3 linked regions of the Kluyveromyces lactis genome follow. The protein of the gene in region 1 interacts with the protein of each later gene in a pairwise test. Links are inferred from orthologs where the notes say so. Each region holds a gene or a part of one and is shown in the gene's direction. Other genes may lie near its edges. The genes, in order: IQG1, BUD4 and MLC1.

Region 1 (11,046 bases):
TGAGTTTCAAGCTGAGATCACTCAGTTGATGAGTTTGATCATCAACACTGTTTATTCTAACAAGGAGATTTTCTTGAGAGAGTTGATTTCCAATGCTTCGGATGCTTTGGATAAGATTAGATACCAATCTTTGTCAGATCCAAAGGTTTTGGAGACTGAACCAGAATTATTTATTAGAATTACTCCTAGACCAGAAGAAAAGGTGTTGGAAATCAGAGATTCTGGTATTGGTATGACCAAGGCTGAATTGATTAACAATTTGGGTACCATTGCCAAGTCAGGTACCAAGGCTTTTATGGAAGCATTGTCAGCCGGTGCAGATGTTTCTATGATTGGTCAGTTCGGTGTTGGTTTCTACTCTTTATTCTTGGTCGCTGACAGAGTTCAAGTTATCTCCAAGCACAACGACGATGAACAATACATCTGGGAATCCAACGCTGGTGGTTCTTTCACCGTTACCTTGGACGAATCCAACGAGAGAATCGGTAGAGGTACTGTGTTGAGATTGTTCTTGAAAGAAGACCAATTGGAATACTTGGAAGAAAAGAGAATTAAGGATGTTGTTAAGAAGCACTCTGAATTCGTTGCTTACCCAATTCAATTACTCGTCACCAAGGAAGTCGAAAAGGACGTTCCGGTTGCTGAAGAAGAAGAAGAAGTAAAGGAAGAGAAGAAGGAAGGAGAAGAAGAAGAAGATGACAAGAAACCAAAGTTGGAAGAAATTGACGAAGACGAAGAAAAGAAGGATGATGAACAAAAGACTAAGAAGGTCAAGGAAACTGTCAAGGAATTGGAAGAATTGAACAAGACCAAGCCTTTGTGGACCAAGAACCCATCCGAGGTCACCCAAGAAGAATACAATGCCTTCTACAAGTCTATTTCCAACGACTGGGAAGACCCATTGGCCGTGAAACATTTCTCCGTTGAAGGTCAATTGGAATTCAAGGCTATCTTGTTCGTTCCAAAGAGAGCTGCATTCGACCTGTTCGAATCCAAGAAGAAGAAGACCAACATCAAGTTGTACGTCCGTCGTGTCTTCATTACCGATGAAGCTGAAGAATTGATCCCAGAATGGTTATCCTTCGTTAAGGGTGTTGTTGACTCTGAAGATTTGCCATTGAACTTATCCAGAGAAATGTTGCAACAAAACAAGATCATGAAGGTTATCAAGAAGAACATCGTCAAGAAGATGATCGAAACTTTCAACGAAATCGCGGAAGACTCTGAACAATTCGACAAGTTCTACACCGCCTTCTCGAAGAACATCAAGTTAGGTATCCACGAAGATACTCAAAACAGAGCTGCTTTGGCTAAGTTGTTGAGATACAACTCCACCAAGTCTGTTGACGAATTGACTTCTTTGTCCGATTACGTCACCAGAATGCCAGAACACCAAAAGAACATCTACTTCATCACCGGTGAATCTATTAAGGCCGTTGAAAAATCTCCATTCTTGGATGCCTTGAAGGCCAAGAACTTCGAAGTCTTGTTCCTTGTTGACCCAATCGATGAATACGCCTTCTCTCAATTGAAGGAATTCGAAGGTAAGCAATTGGTTGACATTACCAAGGATTTCGAATTGGAAGAAACTGAAGAAGAAAAGGAACAAAGAGAAAAGGAAGTTAAGGAATTCGAACCTTTGACCACCGCTTTGAAAGAAATCTTGGGTGACCAAGTCGAAAAGGTGGTTGTCTCCCACAAGTTGTTGGATGCTCCAGCCGCTATCAGAACCGGTCAATTCGGTTGGTCCGCTAACATGGAAAGAATCATGAAGGCTCAAGCCTTGAGAGACTCTAGTATGTCTTCCTACATGGCCTCCAAGAAAATCTTCGAAATCTCTCCAAAGTCTCCAATCATTAGAGAATTGAAGAACAAGGTCGAAGAAGGTGGTGCTCAAGACAAGACTGTCAAGGACTTGACTAACTTGTTGTTCGAAACTGCATTGTTGACTTCCGGTTTCTCCTTGGAAGAACCATCTTCCTTCGCATCCAGAATCAACAGATTGATCTCCTTGGGTTTGAACATCGATGAAGATGAAGAAGTTGAAGCTGCTCCAGAAGCCGCTCCAGAAGCTCCAGCTGAAGAAGCAAACGCTGAAACTGAAATGGAGGAAGTTGATTAAGCAAACTCTTCTTTTTATCACATATTCTCATGAAAGGAATTTCAATAATCATCTCCCCCCAATCCACTACCCAATTAATAAATAGTATCAATCATCAATCAAACACCCTCCACTGATTGTGACCTCTCTCGGAACTGGCTTCTTGATGGATCTATGAGAAGATAAATCTATATTATATATATTATACATCTATATTTACACTATACAAAGTGAGTTAGTTTTCATCTGTAAATTATATCAACATAAATTTAACCAATCACATTATTATTCAAATAACTGTTATTATTACATTACATTTCCTAAAACTGTGCATTCCCTGGTAACGCACACGGTCAACCGACATGACAATACTGCATTGCATCAAAGACGATGGCAGTATAGACGCCAATATCCTCTCCTCAGAGTTTAATACGATATGCCGAGGTATGTACCTTCCCAGCAACGCTACAAAATATTAAGGTATAACTGCGGTCTTACTAACCTCTCTTAAATCTTGTGATTTGAAATCCATTCCAGAACTTGAATATCAGGTTGATACGGGCAAGGACCTTGCGAAATGTAAGGATGATCTTTCCTCGGTCTCGAAACAGTTGACTTCAGTGGCTCATAACCTTTCGTCTTTCGATCAAGAGTTATATTCAACCAAGATCGATCACTTGTCGAAAAAAATTACCATTAAGCAATTAGAGACCAGTAACAAAGACGACCGTAGAGCAAAGTGGAAAGCTAGAGGCCGTCCATCTGCTAAGACTTCAGCAGCTGTAATGGACAGTTCCCTAGAAAATTCAAAGAAACTGGATGCTGTTACCTCTCCCCAGCTCAAAGATACTACGATATATTACGACATATCTGAAAACTCTTATCGAAACCTTACGAATTGCACGCTTAAATACACAGGTACTGAACCATTGCAAGAATTTGCAACTCTGTCAATCCAGGATGTCCATAAATCAATTGTGTACTTCAACATCTTGCCGTTTAATCAGGGAAGTCTTCTTCTTGAAAGATTCGGCCACTGTAAAATAGTGATAATAACACCAAAGAACAGCAATCTTCAACTTCGGTTACATGAAATGCACAATTGCCAACTTTACATAAGGGAACAACACCCTGGCCAGATCCAAGATATCATCATCGAAGACTTCTCAGATTGTGTTTTCCACGAGGATACTGAGAAATTCGTTCATATCCATAATTTCAATCGATTAAACTTACAAAACAAGGAAACTAACGGAGGGTATACATTCGGAAACTTCCCGTACGAAATAGGTTCCCTAATCCCATGAATAGTGATGCTACAAAGAACTGTATGTGACAATAATTTAACTTCTTGAAACGTATTTCTGTCTCAGTGGTTCTCGAGTGTTTTCATTTCGATCGTATTAGGCAAAAGGTAAATATCAACAAAACTTCGATATAACTGTAGATTATAGAAACTTGAAAACATTGAATTGTTTAGTTACCGGTAGTGAACACCACTTGGAAAGGGTCATTAATTCAATCTAGCAGTACCATAATACTTATAGCAAGTTATAATTTACTTTTAACTTGAGTGTGAGTGTTTTTTACTGTTATAACGGCTTTAATCGACAAAGAGTAGTAGCAGTGAGGCTAAAACTAATATAACAAATATGTCAGTCCTGACAGGTTCTCCTGGGAAGTCGGACTCGATCAATACTAGGATGCAGGAATATATGAAAAATATTAATAAGGATTCTCAGCCGGTTCTTAAGCAAATATCTTCTTCAAGAATAAATTCGAATTCTAACTTGAAAGGAATTCTGAGCAGCACCAAAAGTCCCAAAAACACATACAGTGGTTCACCAGGAAAAGAGAATTTCAACAATGTCACAGCAGAGCTATCTTTCATCTTGAAGAATTCGCCAACAAAACCGTCTTATTTCAGTGCTTCTGGTAACAATGTAAACGGTAACAATTCTTCACCATCCAAATTGTCATCTTCAAAGGATAACGATTACCAAGAGTTTTTGGTTAGAATTGAAGAAGCCAAACAATGGATTGAGGCTATTATTCACGAAGAATTGCCATCAGCGCTGGAATTGGCTACAACAAAGTGTATGAGTGATGGTGTATATTTGGCTAAACTTGTTGCAACTGTCAAACCTGAGCTTGTAAAAAAAATTATACCTACTGGTGATAGATTGATGTATGCTCACACACAAAACATCAATGCCTTTTTAGAACTTGTCAACTATATTGCAGTCCCTGACCTTTTCAAATTTGAATTAAACGATTTGTACGATAGAAAGAACATCCCCAAAGTATTCGAAACAATACATGCAACAGCTAGTCTCTTAAGTGCTCAATACGGGACCATCATTCCGCAAATGCAGAATCTGACTGGTCAAATAGACGTTTCTATTGATGATATCAAGCTCTGTCAAAGGAAAGTTCCTGGTGTACATGCCTTTAGATCATTCAACCAATTCGGTTCCAAACCATCATCTCCTAAAAAGTCTCCACAAAAGGGATTACTGGACTCAGCAGTTCTTCAAAGTCCTGTGAAATTAAAAACTGAGCCTGAAGTTTGCATACCAGAATCTCCTAAGACGCCTACCAGATATTCTTCTGCAATCGTGCACGACATACGTCAATTCAATCCTTCGCTTTCTGAGACGAAGCCACTATCTCTTTCATATCCAACGGAGTCTAGCCCACAGCGCTTGAAATATAGTCCTGATAGGACATTCTCTTACTATTCGCCTGGTGTGTCAAGGAGATTATCCTATAGAACAGAAGACATCGGGTACTTCAACAGGAAAAGGCATCAATGGAATTATGATTTTGATTATTACGATACTTATAGGTATGGCAGCACCCAGTATTCGCCAAAACGACGTGAAAGAATGACCGAAACAGAGTTTTTGGATACTGTCACTCATTTGCAAGCATTACTTAGAGGTCTTAATACACGTTACGATGTCCATTTGAAGATAATTACGCTGAAGCATAGCAATACCAGATTTGCAGAACTGCAGGCGCTTTGTAAGGGGGCAGTCATCAGAGGACAACATCAGAACTTCGTTCAGAACCATAAGCCAAATGAAGCTTTGGTGACATTACAAGCTCGCCTTAGAGGGTCAATACAAAGGGATGTATTCGATCACTTCAGATTAAGATTAATCAAAAGGGAAAACTACATCTTGTATTTGAAAACACAATTGAAAGGTTCTGCACAGAGAAAATTGACTCAGGAAAAGCTTCGGTATAAGAGCATATATGGGGACACATTCTCTGTCCTTCAGGCAGTTATTAGAGCCAAATTACAAAGAGGAAACTTTATGTCCTACCATAATATATCGAACATAGTCTCTAGCGAAGCATCCGCGCTACAGGCTTTATCTCGTGGAAGAATCGTAAGGCTTAGGATGATGGAAGCATCAAGTGGTGATCTACAGATAAAATTACAGGCTTTACTGAGGGGTGCTTTTCAAAGAAGTAAGCTGCAAAGGGTAAAAGAAGTAATGTCATGCGATCAATTCCAAAACTTTGGGCCTATCTTGAAAGGTTATATTGTTGCAAGGAGATACACTGACGCCCCAAGTAAAGTTGCTAATGAAATTGTCAGCTTTAATGCAGTGGTAAAGGGGATGCTGACAAGGTTTGCCATGGAACTCATTATAGATATTGCCGAACAAAACAACATTGATAGTTTACAATCCAAAGTATTAGGCTATTTAATCAGAAAACGAGTAAGCCAGAAGAAGAGCTTCTACAAAATGCGTGAATCTGAGATCATCATTATACAAAAAAATATCAGAAGATATCAACTACAAAACGCATACAAAGTTTTAATGTCAACGGGCAGTCCGAAGTTAAGTACGGTTAGAAAATTCGTTCACATTCTTAATCAATCAGATAACGAACTATTCTCTGCTAACCTCCAAAAGCTCAAGGCTAATATTAATGATGTTAATGATGAAGTAGGAGAACTGCAAGAATCGTTGAGAAAGAAGGTTTTGATGAAAGATTCACTTGAAAAGAGAAGAATTGATGTGTGTAAGTTCCTCACGCCAGCTGGACGTCAACAATTAGAGATCCAATTTAACGCCATTAGCAGCGATAATATTTCAGCAAATCTTAAGTCTTTGTACGGTAAAGCAGGTTTTTTGCTACAAGTTGACTCATTTTACTGGCATCTTCTTGCCAAAGGAGATCCGAGATTTTGTGTAACTAATTTACCAAAGTTGTTTGCTCCAATCCGTGGTGCTATTGGTGACAGAGAAAACTCATTACTTATTAAGGTCATTGGAGACTTACTAGTTGAGGAGATTGATGAATCTTCAACTTTGAATGACTTTTTAGTGAACGATGATGCTGTCTGGATTCAGGTTCTTCAGAACTATTTGACCTCTTTCAGAAGCAAAGAAATACTAACCGCTTTTGCACAGCTGTACAAATATCTTGATTCTAACGCAATTGATTTTGAGAGCGATCCATCTAAGATATATGCTAAATTGCATCCTACTGCTCCACCTCAATTGGCACATGAAGCTATTGAGGACTCAAGTACCAGCAAAAGATTCATCAAAAACATGACTTCTCTATGGGGAGCTGTGGAACTAGTTTGTGCAGTATTAGATCATATTGTATCATCAACAAGAAACGATTTAAAATACCTCGCATCCAGGGCATACAGAAGCTCTGCTAATAAGGACACCGAAGAAAGTTCTGCATTATCAGCAATTTCCAAGATTGTAGTAGATAATTTCATTTTCGTTGCCTTGATGAAACGATCTGATTTCTCCTCCAGTACTGTCGGACTCAATTACGATGAAAAGGCCCGGGTTTTAACAGAAACATTAAAGGTTATATTTGCATTAAAAACTTTTGATGGTTACTTCTCTCCATTGAACCAATATCTAGTTCAATCTCACAATCAATTCTCTGACATCTTGACGGAATTACTGATGGAGCCTGAAGAGAGTAAAGAATATGAAACAATGGTCTACAAAGATATGGCAAATAATTCAAAACCATCACTTATGATTTATCATCAAAGTTTCATCAAGATTCTAGAAAAATTGGAAGGAACTCTGGAAGAATTACCACATGATGATCCTATGGTGAAGATTCTTTCGAAAATTCAGATTGAATTCGACAAAACGTCCGTCAACGGACAATCGCAACTCACCATAAGCCTGGATCCTTCCGCATACAAAGTTACTCTAAACAATTCCAGATCTGACTTGATGTATACCGAGGCAAAGCAGGGCTTGTGTTATTTGATGCAGGTTGAGGAAGTCAATTCCAATTTAACGGATCTTCTCGTTAGCGAAGTACTACCAGAGGACGAAATTGCCTTCCAACAGCTCATCGCACAGAATCCAAGCATTGCTAATACTTTATCTGAAAAGCACGGTGATATTATTAACTATGCTGAGTTCAAAAAGTTTTTGATGTATAGAATCAAAGAGCTTACTGTTCTTGGAATAATTGATAAGAGTAACGACTATCAGTTCTTATTGGTCGACATCGCTAATACTATCAAAACTAGATCATGTATTAAAGGATTGAATCGCTCTGAAATGGAGCTAATGACTTCTGTTTATGATTCGCTGAATGACAAGCTTCGTAACACGAAACTACTTCTTGATGCGATGGACACTGCTATCACAAAATCCATAAAAGAAATACAATCCTTGCATGATTACACGCCAGCCAAGAAAAGTGGGTTTGGTCACAAGCTGAAGGATGTTTATCAAAAGAACCATAAGAAGAGCCATGAGGCAGAAGCCGGTATGAACTATAAATGGAGCAACAAACAGCTTTTCGAGCTAGGCGTTTTGTCGAAAGTAACTGGAAATGGTGCTAAGAATTCATCAGTCAGCTTTTTCGGTTCCAGTGGATCAAAGTCTCAATATGTTGATCTCAAATTCTCTACTAGAGATGGTGAAGTGTTTGGAATTGAGTTGATTGACAATAAGAACAAGTTTGATTCTAATTTACAATCTGTTGTGAAGTTTAGTGAATTGATTGAAAAAGAAGCAGCTGACCGCCATTCCACGATTTCTATTCTTGGAAGAAAGGAGAAGATGGTTCTTAACGTTGGCAAATTACTAGATTTGCTTGTTGACAGTTTTTTCAGGTTTTGAATAATATTCAATGTTAGAACTTTTGTAATTATCTATTTCTGAGAACATTATAATTAGTTTATTGTGCCAAAGCTTAATCATCAAGACAATTAAAATTACTTCATTATTATTAACTTTCGTTACATCATATTACTTAAAAATACACAATTCAACTATCACTCAACAGCAGTTTCAGGAGTTGGTGAAACTTCTACAATTCTTTGGATCTCTTTTAATTCCTTCAGTCTGAGGTAAGTCATCCCTGCTTTTGCAAATTCGTATCCGACGTACAAGGCAAAACTGCAAATTAAGCTGTGTGCCATCTCACAATCATCTGGTGACGCGTAAGGATACCTGTTCAATAGCATTGAGTTTATCCTGGGGAATGCAATAAAAAGCTTTCGGCCCAAATATTTACACAAAAATGGCCAAGCTAGTGCAGCAAGGAGGGCATCGTACCACTGCGGTTTTATTATAACATCTGAATATTCAAGACCTTCTTGGAATAGATTGAAAACAGTGGGTTTGGTGACACTCTTTTGAGCCACCTGCGTTGATAGGAAATATGGATTATATTTTTGTATCCAATTGCCGTAAATCTGATTTAATGCTGGTCTAATCAAGAGATTATAAACTCCGATTAGCATACCGTGAAGCTTTATGGAATCACCCAGGAGTTTATGAGTTCCGCAGTTCTTGAGGAAGAAATATGGGAACACTATTCGCAACAATAGAGGTATTGTACCATTAGCTTTAAAAGTGAAAAGGTATAGAGGGAATCCGATAATTTGAAGCTGTTTTTCGGTCGAGATTGAAAGCATGCCCTTTAAAGTTTCTGCATACACATCTAACGCTTTAGTATTGGATATATTTAGAATCTTTCTTAGCAGTTCTTCTGAAAACAGAGTGCGTAGTTGCCAAAGCCCAACTTTGAATAGACACTTCACCGGATTGAAGACATAACTGTGTAAAGTAAGTACAGTAGCAGAATATCTTGTTACTTTTCGACAAAAGGAAAACAATCTCAAGGGCCAAGCCGGTGATCTGTACTGTAACGCTGATGTATTTTTTAACATCTTTTGTTTACATTGTGGGCATGGTGGTATGTCTTCTGGAAGTCCTCTCCATAGTTCGTCATACGAGAAAGAAGTATCTGGAGCATTTAGATGGGCTAGGGCCCTGATCAAAAGATCACCAACACAAATAAAACTGGCCCATGTTTGACCCACTAACGGTATCTCCTGCACAGTTTCAGCAAACCCAATTACTCTCCCCATGTCCCTATGGCTATCAATGAGGTAGCATAGTCTTCGAGATATTTCCTGTGATGAATTAATCTTGTATGTATCATAAGTATAGTAACTCCCTAGCTTCGACTTATTTAGATCGAATATCCATCCTATTAGACATTTTCTGTGTACCTGTAAGTTACAACCGCATTGGTGTACGATCCAGTCGTCGTTCTCACACTCCGTATCTAAACACACCCAACAAACGTACTGCTTGTGAAATAGATCATCAATACAACTTCGGAGTGTCATCCTAAAACTGCCTAGGATAAGAGTAAATGTTGTCCTTAATTAAACACCACTGATAAAGCTCTAATATACGATTTATTGCCTGGCTCTATTGCCTGAGTAACCTGTATTTCTTCCATCTTTTTAGGGTGAATGTTATATAGATAAAGTTTCAATTTCTGAAGTCTTTCCTCATGAAAAGTTCATTATAAGCACGATTAAATGAAGGAAGATACCATGAATAAAACTCACTTTTGGTTACCTCCTCCTCCATCAGCGTTACTGTTGTTGCTCCAGTTCTGAACCGATGTCATGAACTAGGCTCCCTTCGGTAATTATCTCCAAGCTATCTTATCTTGATGTTGGGACGGTATATATTTTACAAAAATACTAACTATGTTGACTATAATCGTCTTGGATGGGAGTTGTGGTATAATTAACCTCTGAAAAGACCGAATAAACCTTTCTTGGATGGTGCTTTCGATTCCTTGACGGGTTCATCGTCTTGGTTTGCCTCAGCAGTAGTTGAAGATACCGACTCTTCTGTAACAGAGGTAGAATCTGGTATGTTGAAGTAGTTGTAAGCCAAGTCGTAGAGGAAAGGTTTTGGAGGAATTGGAAGAAGTCTTGGTGCGAGTGGGTACAAGTTATCCAAGGATACGTCACTTGGTCTCACTTTGCTTTCCAAAATCTCGACTAGAGATGGTTCGAATTGACGGGTTTTCTTGTTCTTTTCCATAGATTTCTTGTGCTCTGCCAGGGCAACAACAGATCTCCATCCGGTAGTGATGTATTTCTTCAAGTCTGTGATCTTCCCCTTCGAGAGTAGCTGGGATGGTAGATAGATTTCATCCCAGTTTATCAGGGATTCTTCGGCGTTTTCAATTCTTTGTAAGCAGTCGACATATAGGGCGAGTGATTCCACGTATTTCTTCTTCGATTGATATATGTTTGCTAGCAGTTTGGAAGTGAAACAAGTTTCATAGTAAGTCTTCAAGAGGAACACTTGGTTTGTTAGGTCGCTGTCTGAGTAAACACCCGGTAGATCCATAATCTGACTTAACAAACTCTTTAAGTTCTTGATAATATGGTCCACTTCTTTGTACTTGTTTAACTTGCTCGTAAAAGACTTATTGTCAAATCTTTCCCATTGCTTCAAAAGACTCTCGAACAAGCTGCTGTCTCTTTCTACACCGGTTACCATGGCATTGTATTGTAGATAAGTCAAGAGAATTTGATTGTTTTCGTCAGTATCATCTTCAGAGCATGTCGTCATATATTCTTTTTGTAAATCAATGGCTCTGTTCCACTT
Region 2 (11,047 bases), on another chromosome or scaffold:
ATCATTCAGACCACTGGTTGACGTGGAATACTGATACGGTTGTGAAGCGGGAAACATGCCAGGGTAGGTGTAGTAGCTTGCTTGCCCAGAGATGCCAGAAATGGACGCTTGCTGAGGTTGATGCTGAGGTTGAGATTGGGATTGTTGAGGTAACTGAGCTTGGACCTGAGAAGATTGGATGGGTTGCTGTTGAGATTGTGCGTTCGAGGAGGCTCTTGGTCTAGAAGATGCCGACCTGACACTGTTGACGGAAACAGTCCTCATATGTTGAGGATGGTCATTACCAAAAACATGGGAAATACTCATTCTTGGCTTGGTTTGAGCGGTAGATGGTTGATTGTTTATTGCATTCAAGCCCACTTCTTCCAAGAGTCTGCGATGCTGTGTGATATTAGATTCTGTGGTCAAAATGTAGCGAACTTGTTCGATAACATGGTGTCTAACGTCTCCTTCCAACATAGGAATAGACAAAACTTTATAAACAAAAGATGGTCCATAATTCGTGTCACTCAACAACTGATATAAGAGCTGAGGTGGTTTAGAAGATATTTCGTTATCCATAGGGCCGAAGATAGTATCTAATATAGCCCTTTTGGCAACTTCATCACCACGATAGTTCAAGATTTTCAAAATTGTTAATGAGGCAAGCTTATGACACCCTAATTCGAAAATATTTGGTAATAATGCCTCAGCAAGTATTGAGTGTCTTTTTGGCAAAGTACAAGTGTCTAAGAACCACGTAACCAAAAGGGCCCCATTGCTATTGGTGGCTAAATATTTCACAAAAAACACAATCATAGCACTAAGTAATAAGAGTTGTTCTTGAGTAATTATGTCATGGGCTTCCAAACAAGCTCTGACTGCACGAGCTCCATATCTATTTTGCACGATATTCCAGAAGTTGGAAACAATATTCTCGAAGATAAAGTTGTTCCAAGGGAAACCAAACTTCAACACACATTGAATAACGTAGTTACCAAATTGATCGTTGAACAATGGGGTACAATACTTATAGACTCCGTTTGCCACATACATTTTTTGTCTTGGGGTATCTGCGTTTGTAATCATCTTTTGACATGCCCAAGTACCATTCTTGTGTACACCCATCGATGTCAAATATACGCTTGTCTTTCTTAACATAATATCTTTAATGACGGAAGAGGCATGTTCAAATAGTTTCTGTACTATAGTATTACCTAAATAGTCCGAACTCAGTTCTGGTATTTCATCCAACATAGCTAGAACTAGCTGTTCAATTTCCAAATCTGACATTTGTCCAGAATCAATACTTTTTCGTAATTCACGAAGCCTTGGGGCATCGAACTCCCTTGTAGATAAGGGCTCAGGTAATGGACCGAAATCAGTAGTATCACTTGTTCCATTGTATTCAATTGCGTTTGCAATGATATGCTGGTACTGAGATGTATCATAATTGATACCAAACTTATTAATAGTATCGTTCAACAAAGTGATATTCTCCTTGAAAGATGGTGGTGGTAGTGGGAATGGACATTGTTCCTTCTCAGAATTACTTGAGGATGGATTGGTAGGTGACACAAATGCTTGAGAGCTCGATTGTGCGTGCGTATTGCCAGTAAAAGAAGGAACGGATACGTTACCTTGCTGTTGGAATTGGACTGCGCCTGAGAATAACTGTTCTTGTAGCAGGGACTGAGGGTTGATGGCAGTAGATTGATGGTTATTTTGCTGTTGAGTTTGCTGAGTCTGAGGTAGTTGTTGATGCATAGGTAAGACTTTTGCAAAGGAAACAGTACTTGGAGCACCGACTAGAGATACTTCTTTACCATTCAAAGCCTCTTTTGCCTTGATGGCAGCTTCCACAGAGGCAAATTCAACAATTGCCATATTAACGCCCCTCAAGGTCCGTGCTGAAATGACAGTTCCAAATTTCAAGCACAACGTTGCCAAACTTGTACTCGTCAAATTGACAGTATTGGACAAATGAGGCTGCTGCTGTTGCAATGAAAAGACATTAGAGATGGATATGGTATTAGTTGGTAATAAGTTTGAAATGTGGTTGATCGATGGTACTGATGGATCAGTTGTCACCCAATTGATCGATCTGGAATCCATGTCATCTTGAACAATTGGGTTGGTAGAAGCAGCAGTGGCTTTTAGTTGTGGATCCATAGAAGGTGGTATAATGAAAGTAGAAGCCCTAGATCTAGTATCCATCTGGTCGTAGGTTGGAGCGTCGGTATAGATACTGGACGCATTTGATTGAGACCTAGGTCTCGAATTCCAAACCCCTCCAATTTGTTGAGATTGGAACTGATGGGCACCAGCTGTTGTTGCTCCAGGTACACCCAAGTTATTAATGTTATTAGAACTTGTGTTCAGATCGAAATAGTTACCAGTTGCCTCATAAGGACTATACGTACCTGGTGCTAAATGGCTGTTGTTATTATTATTATTATTATTGACATTAGTTGGATTAGTAGTTGTTTGAATGCCAGGAGGAGACATTGGATTCACACTCATATCGTTAGGGAACCAAACATTGCCGACATTTGGGACCAACCCGTTGACGTTAGAAGGGCCAGTAATTTGAGATGAAACGGTATTGTTCCTAGTTCTGGAAATGGTATTTGATGCAGTTGGTTGAAGCGGGACGCTGTTTGTGGCAAAAGTGAACGAATCACCGGAAAGCCTTGGTTGTGATGGGACCAAAAGACTTGAACTATCCGGAAGATGAATAGCTTGATTGTAATCTACGTCAAGTGGCGGGGTGATATGTCCAGGCACTGACAAATTAATCTGAGCTATAGAACCCGACTTCGAAGTCTGTTCACTGGTATTTGCAGTCGCATCATCCGAGCTTAACTCACCAGAATGGTTACCTTCTCCCACGGCACTACTACCCTTTGAACCCTTCTTATTATGATGCAATTTCGCACTGATACTAGGTAAAAGATTCGATAGCGTGTTGGAGAATTTCCCTGCCTTGGATCTATAAGAACCTAGCTTCTGTGGCTGGATTGGTAGCTGGTCTATATTATTGCCACCACTTAAGGTGAAATCATCTTCGTATATGGGAATTGTCACTCCTGGATCGATAACTTCCGGAATGTTGGACAATCCTGACATAGAATCGCCGGAAGCTTTCCTCTTCTCCATAACGTGAATTGGATATTTGCGAGAAGCCGGGAAAAAAACCTATTTGCTATTTTTGACCTGTTCCTTGGAAAGTTAGCTTTAGCTCTGATTGATAAGTTTTATATCTCGGTTTTCTAAACACACTAGAGTCGGGTCAATGAAAGTAAGAGCCAATTATTAGATAAAAGTATATCTTTGTCTTCTGAATCGACTACACTAGAATCTCACAGTGAATATACCCTTTTGACTAACTCGGTGAGTGACTGGTTTGGGTTTTTTTAGCAAAACAACTCAATTCTTCTCTAAAGTTTAAATTGGTTCAAATCAAATCAAATCAGCTCTCAATATTTAAAAATGCCTTCTTTATATTTCAATATAGTATGACAATGATGAAATATTAACAAAGTTAGAAAAAACACTAGAACAAATATACTACCATAGCCAGGTAGAATAAAAGGAAGATGAATGAAAAGGGGATCGGATTTTGAAATTTTCTCGATTATTGGAAAACGCCGAACAGAATAAAATAAAGGAAATAGAAGAACGCCGAATGACAGCAAGGCAGTAAGCTAGAAAATCCTGTCAGTTAGGATATTGCTAATGTACTGGCCACAGTACACTGTTTTTTTTATATATAGTACATATGTTTGAAAACCCAGGAACTTTTCAGTATTAACGACGCAGCACAAATTTAGCGCGCATTATGCCCCTATTATGGTGATCTTCAGCTCTTCTCGTATATAGAGAAAAAATGATGATTTACCAGGACAATAAATGATCCAATTCGAATCACACTCTGAGTATTTAGAATTAGAGCCAGTGAAAATAATACGCAAGTATGCCTCTGCGAAGAAGCTTGGTGATTGAAGCTCAAGGTTTATATTTCCTTGGTACTTGTCTTTGCACGCCCTTTCTTTGATTATCTCTGCCAGCGAATGGAAAAGTAATTAATTGTCAGGAACTATGATTATCCGGGTAAGAGCTCGGCACGTGAGTTTCCTCGGATATGAGGCGGAGGTCGGTGGCTGGAGAAAAGAATAAAATATTAATAGAATGAATTTACTTACCCGGAATTACTGCTAGTTGAAAATTTGAAATCACGTGAATACTTATGTAATTATGATCTCGTTTTCCTTTGCCAATTCTGTGTTTTTTTTGGTTTTTCCTCTAATTTGATGTTTACGTATTTCCTAATTCAGATATTGTCAACAAACACTAGGTGATTGACAGGGAAATTTAACATACCCCATCAACAATGGTTTCCATTGTTTACTTGTTTGCCCATTGAATATGTTCATCAACTATAATATATTGTTGTATTTTGTAGGGTTTACATCTTTCATTTCTTTGTTTATACTAGATCTCATTTTTTTTTTGAAGGGAATTGTTTTAACGATTAAATCAGTGATCTTAACTCTCATCACATCTTTGAAGTGGTAATATTCCATTTTATTCGTCGTCAATTTAAGTCCCTTAGTCGAATATACCTGAGCATCTTGGGCAATGCAAATGGAAGACAAAGGCGAGGCACTTAATCCTGATGCAATGTATTCTCTTTTGAAGGAGATTGACCAAGAGATTTCTCACACCGACAATATCAGCATTGATCAACTCCCAGAAGAGGATACCTTGGACAATGAAAAGAAAATTGACGCCAGTGAGAATGTCATTGAAAATACAGAGGAGGAGGCTCTCCAGTTGGGTGACGAGAGTGCAAATACAACTACCGAAATTAAAGAAACATCTTGCACAGAGGACCACGATACTGTCGAAAACACAGAAGATGTCATAAGTATGGCAGAAGGACTCGATAAAGCACCTCTAGAGACTGCTTGGATCAAACACAACTATCAGCAGACTAAACCTGTGGTTTCAAAAAGATTAATCTCAAATGATGGATCAGACACTTCTGTTGAAGATATTAATGCAAGTACCAGAATTCCTTCTTATACTTCCGAAGAAATAACTGGCCTAGAGTTGAAGGATAAGATGGTCACCGATGTAGGTGAAAGATTATCTCATTTCCTAGATCAGAAATATGCTGAGAATCCAAATTTGCCTGCATTGAAAGGAATGCTCTCAATGGCCGATGAAAAAGCCATGGAAGATGACCCAAAAAAGGATAAACCATTGGTGTTCACAATTGAGCCAACTAAACCACTTTTTCCTTCGAAGGAAGTATCTTCAACCATGATTCAAGTCGAAATTCACACTCCTGATGAAGATGATGTTGATGGTGCGGCAGCAGACACCAAAGAAGCAACCAATCTCCTGCTTGATTCTAAGATCCCAGTCACTCCTAACGTCTGCATCAACAGATTCGTAAATAATAACGGGGAAACAAGGGTTTCATCTGGCTCATCGACAGAAGATGCACAAGAACTTAATACGCACAGATTTCAGGACCGGTATCATCTTCTCAGCGGTGCCCAAGCAGTTCCACAACTCCCTCAGTTGCCTGCTTTAACATTGCAGGATTATAAGTCATCAAGTGTTCAAAGCGTTAACGCTTCAAGAATATTTAGTGTTGCAACTACAAATGACAACTACCAGTCGGCAAAAGAATATGATTTGTCCTCAACTGTTGGATGTGAAGAACTCTCTGATGACGCATCAGTAAAGGACTTAGAGATCCCGGAACCGAATGAGTTGCCTTGCTTTCCGACTTTTCAACTGGACTCTACTTCCATGAAGACATCCAGTTCTATGGAAACGGTACAGCATGATAAAGCAAAGTTCAACTCAGACGTCAATATCGCGGATGATACTATGGAACAAATAGAACAAGAGGAGGCAGAATTGATTTCTAACCCGGAGAGAAGTGGAAGTCCTACAAATGATAATATGTCTCAACATAGCCAGAATAGACAGTTGCTGGGCGTATCAGAGGTGTCACAGGCACAACAGGCACCAGAGCACCATGTAGAAATGTCAGTTGAGTTTCAAGACGAAGGAAGAAGGGATATAACCAGTAGCTTCTCGAGAGAAAGTGATCGAATCGAGCTACCACCTTTGCCTCCTATGAATGGACTTTCGACAATGTTTGACCAGGATTTATTCAATGACCATGAGACCTCGCACGAGTCAATTGATTTAACTTCGTCGTCCCACAAGGAGAATTATCTGTCAATTTGGCACTCACAGAAAACAGGGGGCAGTTTTATATCTCCAGCATTGAGCACCAATTCTCAATTTAGTACTCAATCACGTACATCATCAGTGCCGACAAATCATAGCGGAAGTTCATTTAAATTCAAATCGAGAATCATTTCGAATTCTCATGTATTCAAGCAAGAAGCATTTAGACAATTCAGTGATGAGTATGTCCTCAGCACACAAGATGATAGTAAGTTGGATCCGCTAAGAAGAAATACTATCATGTCCAAGCGTATCCAGCAAGAACTCAAGACACAAGCTAAAATGTATCCATTTGCTAATAAATTTGCTTTGGATGAAAGTTCGGAACCAAGTATACACAACGAATCAATTATTACTGGGGACATTTCGAGAACAAGTGACAAGGCGGTTGACACTACAAACATTTTATCCCATAAGAATTTGACACTTTTGCCGCCGCAATCAACTGAAACTGTATTTTCGTCCTTTTTAGACAATTTTGATAAAGACGACTTTGAAGAGAAGTTGGCAGAAGAATCTCGATTGAACTCAAAGAAGAATCTTCAAACTACTTGGGGTCATTTCCGAGACGTCAGTTCTGGTAATGTAGATATTAAGGCAACTCAGCAACAGATTGCTGAAGTTCTTCACAATCAAAACGAAGATGTCGTTCAAGTGGGGTCGCATATTCAAGATGTTAAGGTGTTACTCGGGAATGAAATTGAGGGATACGATGTTCAAAAATCAGTATCGGATCTGTCAGTAGAGACCACAAAAAAATCGCCAATTAAGCACGTAGGATCACCCTTCAAAGTGAAAGCTCGATCTGAAACACCACCTCAATCGCCCGTAGTCTACGAAAGGGATACTACAGAAGTAAATGAAGGACTGCAGCGAGCTCCGACGACATCATTAGCTTCTGTTTATCTAGAAAACTCCCTTCAAGAATTTGAATCCTCGGAGCTTCAAGATCATGGCAAACTATACTTGAAACTAAAGAGTATCAATTCGCTTCGTTTACAACAAATTAAACGCCATAATGCAAAGTATTGCATAGAGTTTGATAATGGAAAAGAGGTTATTGAAACACCGTGGGAATCCATTCCGGAAGATGGTCCTATTAAAATGAGTCAGGAATTTGAAGTAAACATGGAATCAAATAACGTCACTTTATTCATGACTATGAAAATTCGATACACAAGCCCTCAAAATCAACTAACTGAGGTTGTAGAGAAGATTCCTATCAAGAAACGATTTGCGTTCGGCAAAACAAAGTATAGGCTTGAGAAAAGGTTTGTTACTAAGAAATTGAAATATGACGATTGGGACTTCAAATTCGCAAAGGATGGTTCATTTGCACGCTGCCAGGTAAATGTCAATAAAAATATGCTGAAACAAATCAAATACAAAACAAATGAGCTACACTTTGAATTCCTCAATGAATGGGAGCGCGAATTTGATGAGAAAATCGCACAAACATATAAAGAAGACGAATTATGGAAACTTCCTCGGAAAAATCCATCTAAGGTTTGCTCTCTTACAGTTGATGTGATGTATCTTCCAAGAACTTCGTCCATGGAAAGATTCCCAAAGAATCTGAAGGCAGTTCAGAAGTGTTGCGAGAAGTATCTTGAACAGCAAAGGGTCAATAATGAAGGATTCCTGTGGCAAGAAGGCGGTGATGTAGAGGGAATGTTGAAAAGAAGATATATGATTTTGAAAGGCACTGAACTTATAGCTCATGACGAAGTTACCAGAAAACCACAAACTTTGTTGAATCTTCTAAACGTAGTAGATATATACTCTGATGGTAAAACGGCAACTGGAAAACAAATGAGAAACTTTACTGATATGGTACTTTTCAGCGATTGCTTCAAACTCCTTTTTGCAAATGATGAAGTTATAAATTTTAACGCTGATTCTAATCTTTTAAAACAACAATGGGTTGAAATTTTGACCAGCGTTGTTGAACTGAATAAATTCCATCAACCATGGATCAAAAGAGTTTTTGAAAACGAACAATACAACATTACTTTTTAAACTGTTATAGTATTCAGATATATAGTTTGTCTTTGCCATTTTTTTTGAAGTATAGTATATTAATGTCATTTCTCTAATTATAACAAATGTCAACATGAGGTCTTTAAAACTAAGCTGTGTTACAATTCCATCAAGGAATCGAAAATACATGTACATGTCCGCTATATATCATTAATGTTGCTTGCAATCAATACGAGCCTCAAGCACTAAATTTCATTTCTTGTCGTTGAGATTATTATTGTTGTTGTTGTTAATGTTGTTCATGTTGTTCATGTTGTTCATGTTGTTCATGTTGTTCATGCTTGATACATTTTGATTTTGCATGTTATTCATCATACCCGGAAATGGAAATCCTGGGAAACCACCAAACATGGGGGGAAGTCCCATAGGCGGAGGAGGAGGTTGGATTGTATTCTGTACAGGTTGTCCTGAACCTGGATCATTTAACTTTCCTTGCTGCTGTAAAGCTAGGAGGTTCATCAAAATCTTTTGTGGGTTGTATTCTTTCGTCAAATGTTCTTGTCTATGTAAATATTCCATCCAAGTCTGTTCATTAAATCCATAATTGAAATAATCTGAAATATTCGCTCCTGGTTGTCTCCAGGGCTTCTCCTTTAGAATTTCTGGATCGATCTGTACTATAGGTTTCCCATCGAATTGTGCATCCGGGTTCAAATCAATAGTTTGTTGTTGCTGCTGCTGCTGTTCAGGTGGTATTGAACCCTCCTGTACAGGAACCACGTCCGATATACCAGCCACTGCTGCAATAGCATGATCCGCTGTACCAAGAGGCGTTGTGTCTGTTATAGCAGATATCTGGGACTTACCAGAATCTATCTTAGAGGTATCGTTACCAGTTCCGATGATAATCTCAACATCTGAATCTGAGTCACTGCTGTCATCCTCATCTGATGAACTATCCTGATTGGAGGCCTCACTCTCTACCTCATTCGTATTACCTTCCGGTACATCATGAGCTAGTATCTTGGGTGTTTCTTCGACCTTTTGTCTTTTCAATGCAGGACCCTCTTGCTTTGCGACTACGTTAGAATCCTCCTCATCGCTGTATAGAAACTTATCGTCTTCATCCTCACTGCTCATAACGATTCGTTTCTATATGTCGTTCGTGGACTGGTAGAAGATTTATCAATAAATGCTTGGAAAGTTTGGAAGGCTGCGCAACCCAAAAGGTATCTTAACAGGAAGATAGTTCTTCTTCTCATATAGAAATCAACTAATAGTTAACTCTCAATGCTAAGATTTACCAAAATGATGCTGTTAAATCGACGCATATCCGGGTAAATTATTGTCGTATTCAATGACAAACATTTCTAATGAATATCTGTCACCGGACAGCGGACAGCGACTCAGCTTGTTTGGACGGAATGTATAATATGGGTTAAATGTGTAGCTAATGAGAATACATGATTTACAGAAGAATTAGATGTGCATGTTGCGGACAGTATCGATTTCCGATGTTAACGAACTTGAAAGAATATGCGATGGTAAGAATTAAAGATATGGAAAAGTAACAAGGGAAACCAAAGAAAAAAGTGCATCTTATTGACGAAGCATAATACTTTGTCCTGTTTTTTCAGAGTAAAAGTGTGAATTAATTAAAAAAATTGACAGAAAACAACAGAGGAAACAAACATTACAGGCGAGTGAGTGTCTTTAATGTGTTGAAAAGAGTCAGACATTGTTGAGAATGAATGTTCAAAAAAGTCGATTGTAAACTGCAATTGAGAAGTGAATGTTCTTTTTTGAAGTGTTTATGGGACCTGTAAGGTTGACTAAACATGGTCACCTTGTGTCCGCACCCACAGAAACAAAGTAAAAAAAAAAATGGAAGGTAATTTGAAATGAAGTAGAGAATTAGAAAGGAATGAATGTAAGAAATATGATGAAGAAGGAAAAAAATATGCAGGTGTATCATACAGGCAGTCTATAGCAAAGGGGGAAAAATAATATCTGGATAAAAGGATGAGGATTGTTCCATCAAAAATACGTCTTGGAGAACTTGTAATCAATTTCTTGGAATCTAATCTTATCGAAATAATCCAAATCGTTAGAATCAGCCAAGAAATACCCAAAATAAGGTAGTAACTTGTTAGTTAGCGTGTAAACAAACTGATCCTTTTCCGAAACGACCGAATCTTTCTTTGAAGATGAAGAGGAGAACATGATGGGTGCCACCAATGCACGTTGCTGTTTTTTCTTCACTGGAGCCATGCACTGCAAGTCATTGTCCAAATCTTGCTCGTCTTCTTCCAGTAACACGTTGATACTTCTTGTAGAAGAGAAAACAGAACTGTGTCTTGTGTCAGCCAGTGAAGGTGGTGTAGAAGAAGAACAAATAATTCTCTGTTCATCTTCTTCTTCAAAACTCGTCTGTAAAAATTTCAAATTGTGAACGTGAATCAAATGGACAGGCTGAGTATGGATCATCGACGGCATATGGATGGACCTTGGCTGTAAATCGTGTCGACTGATAACATGCTTCTCATGAAAATCAAGGCTTACATCATCTTCGAGATCAGAAAGTGCCAATTCACCATGCCATTCCATGTTAACTCCACATTCTTGCAGGTCGTCCAGTTTCAAATAGCTAGAAATATCCAGCTCGCAGTGCATTGTATTGGGTAAAGTATATTAAGCTTCTATGGTAACCAGTTAGTATTTCACTATCAGTTTTTTTTTATGCACGGTAATGAGGCAACCGATAGAAAAAGAAAGACAGACAAGAATATGTCAAAAGCCTCAAAAACGATAG
Region 3 (9,097 bases), on another chromosome or scaffold:
GATAGCATCTTCCAACCAAAATGTGTACATTTGTCCAAACGGCGATGGAAACTCATTGCCGTTTTTCTGGTATTCATTATTAGAAAACGTAACCTTGTAGATAGAGTTCCCCCAAGATGGCTTTTCTACTGATTCAGGTATTTTGTTCATCTTGTAACGAATAAATTCTGAATCTGGGATGGTACCGAAGAAATATCCTCCAATCTTTAATGATTTGACAACGTTAAGCAACATTCGTCTAGCTTTCTCTTCGGTTTCAAACGCATAATGTAGAGCGAATTGACATGACACTATGTCACAAGGAAATCTGCATTCTGGGAATGATTCAACTGCGACCCCAAGGGACTCACCAAAACAATCACCAGTAATTAGAATAACTTGGTATTCAAGGTTCTTCATCGAATGATAACGTTTAAGCGCCTCGGTAATTGAAGCATTGGAAATGTCAATACCAATAAACTGTGATATTCCTGCGGCACCATATTTCCTTAAATCACCACCTTTACCACAGGCAAGCTCCAAGACTACATCTCCTGCTCTTGTAAACTTGTCAATGAGAATGTACTTGATAGCATTATTAAAGTTTCTAAGTTTAATGATAGGAGAATAATTTCTGTTATGCTTTTTGGAAAGAAACGTACGCTCATTATAATGTTGCCTGACAACATGGTCAACATTCACGACTCTATTAGCTGTCATTTCAATATCATGATGTTTTATTTGTTCTTCTATAGTCTTCTGCAGCCTCAGCTTTTTCTTCTTCTCTTCTAAATCAAATCGCTGATGTTTCCTGTTGCGCACCTTGCTATTTTTGTCGTCATCTTGAACTTCTGGTACTGAAAGCTTTGCTATTCTTTCCTGCGTCGAATATCCGATGCTACTTTCTTTGGGTTGTAATGCTAGCTGTTTGTCCTCATGATTGCACTTCTCTGATTCTTTCAATTTAAGCAACGAACCATATTGCTCTTCATATTGTTGCTGGGACATCCATACTGGCTTCTCAGGTAGTAACACCATGCTGACAGCTTGCGCAATTGATATGTCGCGGCCTGTTTCGAAAGCCTTATTGAACTCCAAGTCAGTGTTACCTTCTTGGAATGAAACTACTTTTATGACATTCTAAAGATCGACTATATAGAAATATTAACGGGAAAGCTAAACTAAAAAAGGCTAAATCGCTTAGGGAATGATGGGATCAGGCATTTACAAAAGAAGTATGCTGTTTAACGTATAGGATGCTTCAGCTTCATTTCCATATTCGAATGTTTCATGAAGAGTCCTTTCAACTGCTCTCATATAGCATTTTTTAATCCTTGTACATTTTGACTTCAGATGTCACTTTGGAAGTTGTTATTTAAGACTAAATGAAGAAATAATGAATAGATGCTTTAGAAGATCAGTCAACTTTAGACACTATAACAAAGAATATAGACAATTGTCATATGAACTGAATGCAATGAACTAGGTAGCGTGTTTCCCATCTTCATTTAGTAGTTTAAAATACCCATTTGGAAAGGATTTCCTTCAATATCAAAATACCTATAATATTGAATTAACAAAACCTTAAAACCATTCAGGATTAATACTTGAAAGATAGCACACAGAAAGAAGAAAAAAGACCCAATTAAATTACGAAGGTGAGCGTTATGGATCAAACGGAAAAGCTACGGATTAGGCAAGAGAAACTTGCTAAGTGGAAAAAACAGAAACTGAATAATGATGTTACAGCATCTGTTTCTGTAGATGCTAAGGAAGAGAGACTGAAGAAACTAGAGGCATGGAAGAAGAAGAAGAAACAACAAGATGAACTCAAGCAAAAGGATATAAAACTTACCAGTATAAAGTCTGCGGATAGGGACAGGAACAAACGAAGGGGACAGTGTTCGAGAAAACGTCCTGCTTTTGGGGGAAGTGATAGTGAATCTGATGATGAAAATTCCACATCAACGTTATTCAAGCCGCGTAGAAACGATACAAATACTCATGTTCTGACAAAAGACAACAGCAAGGATGATTTGGATGATGGGAATGATGCATTGGATGAATATATCCACAAGCTTATCGATAAAGATTCGAATACTAACCGAGTAAGACTTATTGATAATATTTCAGAGGATGAAGATGCTAACGACAGTAGCTCAGAGAAAACGATATCTCAAGAGGAAGCTCCGGTTGATTCAGAGATATTATTCAAAAAGAAGGGTAGAAAGAAAATAAAAGCCATTGATTACTCTAAAGTTTTAAACTTAATAACATTAAATAAATGTCTTTATCGTGAACCGAACGATTTGGGATTGATGTCAGAGAAAGATGTGGAGGAACTTCGATTATCATTAGATAACATTAAAATCTCAGGGAAAGATTGTCCCAAACCTGTAACGAAATGGTCACAGCTTGGTTTGTCCTCTGAAATCATGGATCTTATCTCCAACGAACTACAGTTTGTAACCCTCACACCAATTCAATGCCAGGCAATACCGGCTATTATGTCAGGCAGAGATGTTATTGGTATCTCAAAAACTGGGTCAGGGAAAACGGTCGCTTTTCTCCTACCACTTGTTAGACAGATCAAGGCTCAGCCACCTTTAGCTCCTGATGAGACTGGTCCTATTGGTCTTATATTGACACCGACCAGAGAATTGGCCGTTCAGATACAAGAAGAGGCACTTAAATTTTGTAAAGGGTCTGGCATTTCAAGCATCTGTTGCGTGGGAGGCTCGGAGTTAAAGCAACAAATCAATGAATTGAAAAGAGGTGTTGATATCATTGTCGCAACTCCAGGGAGATTCATTGATCTTATGACATTAAATTCAGGCCATTTGTTATCTCCTACAAGAATTTCGTTTGTTGTTATGGATGAGGCAGATAGACTTTTCGACCTTGGATTTGGACCCCAAGTCAACCAAATTATGGGCTGCATCCGTCCAGACAAGCAGTGTGTTCTCTTTAGTGCTACATTTCCAAGTAAGCTCAAACATTTTGCATCGCGAACCTTAAAGAATCCTATTCAAATTACTATAAACTCTAAATCACTTATTAATGAGAACATTCAGCAGAGAGTCCAAATTTTTGATGAGGAACATGTTAAATTTGAGTTCCTACTTAAAAGGCTTTCGGATCGGTTAGCCTTGCATCGTGGTGAAGATGAAAAGACAATTATTTTCGTTGGAAGCCAGCAGCTTTGTGACCTTTTATATGACGAGCTTTTACTTAATGGCATCACCACTTTTCCTATCCATGCTGGCAAACCTTCTGCAGAACGTCTTCGCAACTTGCAAAAATTCAAAGAAACTGACAACGGAATTTTGATATGTACTGAGGTACTCTCAAGAGGTCTAAACGTGCCAGAGGTTTCTCTTGTCATTATATACAATGCGGCAAAGACCATCGCACAATACGTTCATACCGTAGGAAGAACTGGTCGTGGGACTAATAACGGCGTTGCGCTCTCCTTCGTTATGGTTGATGAACTTGCATCTGCCTATATTTTGGTGAAGTGCATGAAAGAGAACGAGTTGAGCTCTGTGCCGATGGTTGTCTATCAAAAATTGAAGGAAATGAACGACGAATTTTCGAGTGGACTAAAGACTGGAAAATACAGATTGATCCAGGGTTTTGGTGGAAAAGGTCTTGATCACTTAGACGAGCTAAACGAAGCAAAACAGTCTCAAGAATATACTGACTATGGTGTCGTTGAAAATGAAGAAGATGTGACAGAGGAAGAAAGCGGAGCAACCAAAATGGAATACACAAGAGGTAAAAGGGAAGAAGGACATTCCACAACATATTTTGCACATATAAATATTAACGACCTTCCGCAACTTGCGAGGTGGGAAGCAACGAAAACAGAGACAGTCTCGAACATCAAACAGGAGACAGGATGTAATTTTGAGAGTAAAGGTAGCTTCTACCCTGAAGGAAAAGGGCCAAAGAATGACACTGATGATCCTAAATTGTATTTGATTGTGGAAGGTGCAGAAGAAAGTGACGTAACAATGGCATTAGAACTCCTCAATACAAAGGTTAAAGAGGGAATACGAAAAGCAGCAGTGAAGGATATCCAATCAGGTAAATATCGTATGTAATTTAGTTTCAATTTCAATCATTCACCAACATGTTTCATTTCTGCGCAATTTCCATCACATGCGTTTTCCTGGATTTGGCACGCTCATGGGCTAGTTTCTGACTCAATTCACTTTTGGCGTTGGCAGCTTCAAGTTTAGCATTTCGCTGTTCAGCGGCCACTCTTGCAGCTTCTCTTGGAGATAAGGTATGGTGACTTTGCGTGACATCAATCGGTCTTCCCGTGCTCTTTTTTGATGTAGTTTTGTTATTTGATTTTGGTGCTGAACTATCAGCGGCCAACGGCACACCTTTACTAGGCTTACTACCACATAGACCCATCGGCAGTATGACTTAGCAATGGCTTCTCTTTTTTCGTTCTATCCTGTACGTTTTATATCTATGTTTGTAATAATTGTAGATATGATTCAACTTAAATTGATTTTTGTTCAGCTTTTACCTTAAAAGAGATGCACACGATCTAACTCTTAGATATTTTAAGAGAACTTTTATGTAGAACCAAGTATTGCAAAATATACAATAACTTATATATAGCTTCCCGATTGAGTTGTCAACTAAAGACGAATATGTGTTTAAATAAGCTTTCATTAGATTAATCATAAGTGGAAAAGGGTATATCTATATTATATATATTTACAGACAACATACAAAGATCGTTAGTCAATGTAGTTAAATTGATAAAATGAATGTTTGAAATTATTATTGAATATCTATCAGTGATTCAAGTGGAAATTCCTCAATGGCGGAACGTATATCGATGAGACATCCATTGTATTAACCAAACCAAGATATGGCTGTGCGACTTCGAAATTCAATGCAATACCACTGGTAATACGAGCATATTGCTTAGGATCTCTACAATAGACACCGTAACGTTTTACCAATTGGTAGTAAAGTAGAATTCTGTCATTATCTTCTTTATTGGTTTGAGTATTCAAGTGATCAGCATGTTTTGTACCGGAGGTAGGTTCATTGAAATCATCAAATGCCCCACTGGCATTAGCGGCTTCCAAAGCTGGATTATAAGAATCAGATGTAGTCATTTCATAGCTGCCGCCGTTTTTAAACTGTTCTTGGGTGTACGTTACAGTAGCATCTCTTAGAGCTGCCCAATCAGCATTGGCGATATACGTCTGGCCAATTTGATCAGCTTTTTGGATTAATTGAACCCATTTCTCACGGATGACATCATTTGGAACACTGATACTTCCCATAGCCTTCAAGATAATACGGTAGGTGACGATGGTCTTTGGAATGTGGTATAGCTCGTATGACTTTTCGATAGATTCGATAATATTTCTATCTTGCCAAACGGTACATTTAGTTAAAATGATGTTCAAGAAGGGTTCATCGATAGCTTTCATTTCGTCATACGCTGTTACCAACTCTTGAAGGTGCTGTAAACCAGCTGCTTTGTCGGTAACATAGTTTTCGAAGAAAATTGAAATGAACTTAGAGTTCAATGATGATGAGATACCATGGGAAACATCTTTACCATAATATTTGGTAGCCTTGGTCCAAACATCAACGACTTCGTTGAAATCATGGGTTTGATCCCAAATATTTTGGATTAACTGTTTCACTGAAGAAACCTGCAAGTTGATCTTGTAGGGCATGTCTTTACTCAAAGCCCTTTCGAAGAAACTCTTAGCCACATACAAATCCTTACATTCACCAATGAAGGCCAAATGAGTTCCCGTCAAAACCGCATATGGTGAAACACCAAATCCTTCCGATGTACACATCTCTTGGAAAAGGGACAAAGCATGCTCGTTTTCGTTGGCAGCAAGCGAGGTCTTAATCATACCCAAAACTAAACTAGGGCTTCCATGAGATCTAGTTGTATTACTAGCGGACTTTTCATACAATTTCTTAATTTCTTCGAAAGTGGTACCGTTTTCATATAGTAATGGTAAAACGACACCGACGACGTTTGGAAACATGAAAGATTTGACAATATCCTTGTTCTCAGAATTCACAGCTGCTTTCCAGATGTTCAAAGTTTCTTCGTAAAGCAGTAATTCTTTGAAAGAGGATAACAAATGAGCGGCACCGTGTTCACTGACTGAGACACGGTTAGCTAAAATATCACCAGAGATTTCCCTAAGCGATTCACACAAATAATTGGTCATTTCCTTGTGGAAAGATTGCGAATCATAATCTGGCTTCTTGTTCATGCTAGTCAACTGGGTTCTATTGACCTTCAAAGCAACATGCATGAGTTGAATAACCCTACTTGCACGATGGTTGTTTAAGTCTCCGGTGATGACTAACTCCCTGTAGATATTCATACTACTACTGACCGAATCCCAAAACAATGAAGATTGATCTAGGAATTTACCATCGGGGGCACGAGAGGAAGATGCTTCCAAACCTCTGGCCAAACAGTCATCCAAGGCATTAAGTTTAGAGAAAGCTGGAGAATTAGGAGAGTTTTTGAAATTATCGAATTTTATGTTTCTTCTTAGGTTGCGGACCTTTTTAACGTTACGTTCAATGATTTCATTATTTTCATACTTCTTCTTAGAGTTTCTCTTATCCGAAGACGACTTGGCTGGTGCTGCAGTTGTTGGATCCTGTTGAGGATTACGCTCTAGTGCGACAGCGCTGTTGAAACGGAACTGGGAATTTAAAGAATTTCTGGACGCAGAAACGAACTGATTTGGGACCCTACTCTTTAGGGTCTGTTGTTGGACAAGTCTAAACATGGTTTTAGACAATGGCAAAGAAGATGTTCTTTTTAACCGGAAAAAACACTAATAACGAACAGTTGATTAGCTCTGTGTATAATAATCAAAAGAATTTGTTAGTAATATGAACCAAAGACTTTTTTTATAGGTAAAAGTCTAAAATCTTGAATAGTGTTAGAGTTTAGGGAATATATATATATCCATCGCCTCTGAGGGAAACCCGAACCTATTGTAATCGGACATAGTAGTCACACATACCTTTTTTTTTACTGATGAACGAAGGAACACAATATAATGTTCAGAGTTTAAACGGTATACTGATCTGTGATATAGTACTGAGCTATAACAAAAGAAAACACAACAATGAAAATTATGTCTTAGTTAACAAAAGTGATACGACACTGAACGATAAAAAACTGTTATTGAGTATGTTAATAATCGCTTTTGTTATATAGGTCATATCAAAAAAGAAGCTTGAACACTTTTCATCGCTCGACAAGAAGACAAAAGAAAAAGTGTCATCAGATGTCAGGAACATTGGATGCTGAGGAAAAGAAACTGAACGAGGGAAGGTTGGAAATTTTCGAAATGCGATGTTGAATTGTGCGGGTAACAATATATTTGACTCACGTGATGGGTATTTAAAATCCGGGTAAATGATATCTGACTGAGTTTTAGGTCGTCCAAAAAAAGAGCTTTTGAGGCCCCAGAAACAATAATTTGTTTTCCATTTTGAAAAACGTAAACAATAAGAGTATCTTTACATTTGATATATTTACTGGAGGAAGGCATGCATTGTTCTACACATTCGAATAGATTTATATTTACCTTGGAGCTTTAAATAGTATCTACTTCTTGCTAGGCTAAGTGATACTGAATCGTGATTTAATTACGCAGTACTGTATTATTCATTGAAGAAGTGGGAAATCAATCATCATGTCCAGAATCAACAAAGATATTTTTACGCTATTTGACAAGCAAGCCAAGGGATCCATCAGTAAGGCCCAAGTTGGTGATTATTTGAGAGCAATTGGATACAATCCTACCAATGCGCTAGTGGAGGAAGTTGTCGCTTCTTCAGGTGACGAGTTGACCTTAGGTGATCTAGAAAAATTAGTTAAGGATAACGAAGAGAAGTTGGAGCAAACTACTCAAGGTAAAGTAGAGGATTTCATCAAAGCCTTTCAAGTTTTTGACAAGGATAATACTGGCAAGGTATCACCAGGTGATATTCGTTACCTATTGACCGGTCTAGGGGAAAGGTTAACTGACGAGGAAGTTGATGAATTGATGAAGGGGATCGAAATCGACTCTGACGGATTGATCGACTACAAGAAATTTGTTGAAGATGTATTGAGACAATAAGAGAGAGGATGTAATGCAACTCAAGATTACATGCATTAGTTAGTATAATACAAATATATATATAAATATAAATACCCAATCTCACACGCCAGGAGCTTTGCTCTTTTGTTCTATTCTAAGCAGTCCGATACTATTGACTTGTGACAGTTCTAGATTCAAAACCCAACGTCTTCTGGTAGGGTGAGAATTGGCATGAAGTTCCCTATTATCATCATAGGTAAACCAAAGGCGTCTCTTTTTAGCGTCCATAGACAACAACATTTAATAACGCTTCCCTTGATCGGGGTTAATAGATTACAAATTCGCATAGTTTCAGCACCTCTGAACCCCTGATATGCAACCCTAGTGAACGTTTGGAAGTACTCCATTACCGTATCACCATCCATCAATTCGACTATGAAGGTCATTTTGTTGAGTAGTTCTAGACGATTCCAGCCAGTCAATAGAGAAAACTCGTCATTCACATAACTGATCTGTCCGTTACGTCTCCATACACAAGTTGGGGTACCAACCTGAGAGATGAATTTCTCATACTCTAATAAAGTTCTCTGATGGCTCTTTTCCATAAATATCATATCTTCATCGGTGAGGTCGATAGTACTGGCAATGAAAATTGGTCGTAACTCAGCTAAGCAGCGACACATTTCCACCAATTGATTTTTGTCAAATCTTCTTTTGAGATATCGAAGCAATGCATGGAAACCAGTAGTACTTGGAAACGCTGTTTGAACCAACGAATATATTTCTGATGGTGTAGTGAACCTCAAAGTATGCGGGATCTCGGTATCGTGCGGTATCTCTCTGTATTCTGGTGGTTCCACTTCGAGTGCGTATGAAAGATTAGGTATCTTTCTTGAATCGTATATCTCTGGAAAAGTATTAGCAAAATTCAAGTAGTACTGGTTTATAGTTTTGTCAAATTTCGTCAGATGTGGGGACAAAGTCCCAATAGTCATCCG

Evidence for each region.
Region 2: the proteins of IQG1 (region 1) and BUD4 interact in binary tests that used the Saccharomyces cerevisiae proteins (3 or more experiments, as listed by UniProt). The link is inferred for Kluyveromyces lactis from reciprocal best matches to the Saccharomyces cerevisiae genes IQG1 and BUD4.
Region 3: the proteins of IQG1 (region 1) and MLC1 interact in binary tests that used the Saccharomyces cerevisiae proteins (3 or more experiments, as listed by UniProt). The link is inferred for Kluyveromyces lactis from reciprocal best matches to the Saccharomyces cerevisiae genes IQG1 and MLC1.

Annotation. Positions count from the first base shown.
Region 1 is NC_006040.1:1,098,663-1,109,708, reverse strand, and holds IQG1 (Iqg1p), read left to right. Parts: upstream 1-3,753; coding exon 3,754-8,238; downstream 8,239-11,046. Other genes in the region: Hsp90 family chaperone HSP82, read left to right, coding at 1-2,122; GTPase-activating protein CIN2, read left to right, coding at 2,464-2,545, 2,639-3,408; KLLA0_D12892g (uncharacterized protein), read right to left, coding at 8,394-9,758; signal recognition particle subunit SRP68, read right to left, coding at 10,171-11,046. UniProt on the Saccharomyces cerevisiae protein: Required for the assembly and the contraction of the actomyosin ring at the bud neck during cytokinesis.
Region 2 is NC_006041.1:534,083-545,129, reverse strand, and holds BUD4 (Bud4p), read left to right. Parts: upstream 1-4,620; coding exon 4,621-8,274; downstream 8,275-11,047. Other genes in the region: JSN1 (Jsn1p), read right to left, coding at 1-3,138; cleavage polyadenylation factor subunit FIP1, read right to left, coding at 8,488-9,375; transcription factor IME1, read right to left, coding at 10,273-10,908. UniProt on the Saccharomyces cerevisiae protein: Required for establishment of the axial budding pattern in haploid cells.
Region 3 is NC_006042.1:961,724-970,820, reverse strand, and holds MLC1 (Mlc1p), read left to right. Parts: upstream 1-7,709; coding exon 7,710-8,138; downstream 8,139-9,097. Other genes in the region: ABD1 (mRNA (guanine-N7)-methyltransferase), read right to left, coding at 1-1,017; DEAD-box RNA helicase PRP5, read left to right, coding at 1,647-4,085; KLLA0_F10483g (uncharacterized protein), read right to left, coding at 4,120-4,404; KLLA0_F10461g (uncharacterized protein), read right to left, coding at 4,797-6,791; ERT1 (Ert1p), read right to left, coding at 8,294-9,097. UniProt on the Saccharomyces cerevisiae protein: Essential light chain for the class II conventional myosin MYO1. Also acts as light chain for the class V unconventional myosin MYO2 and for IQG1.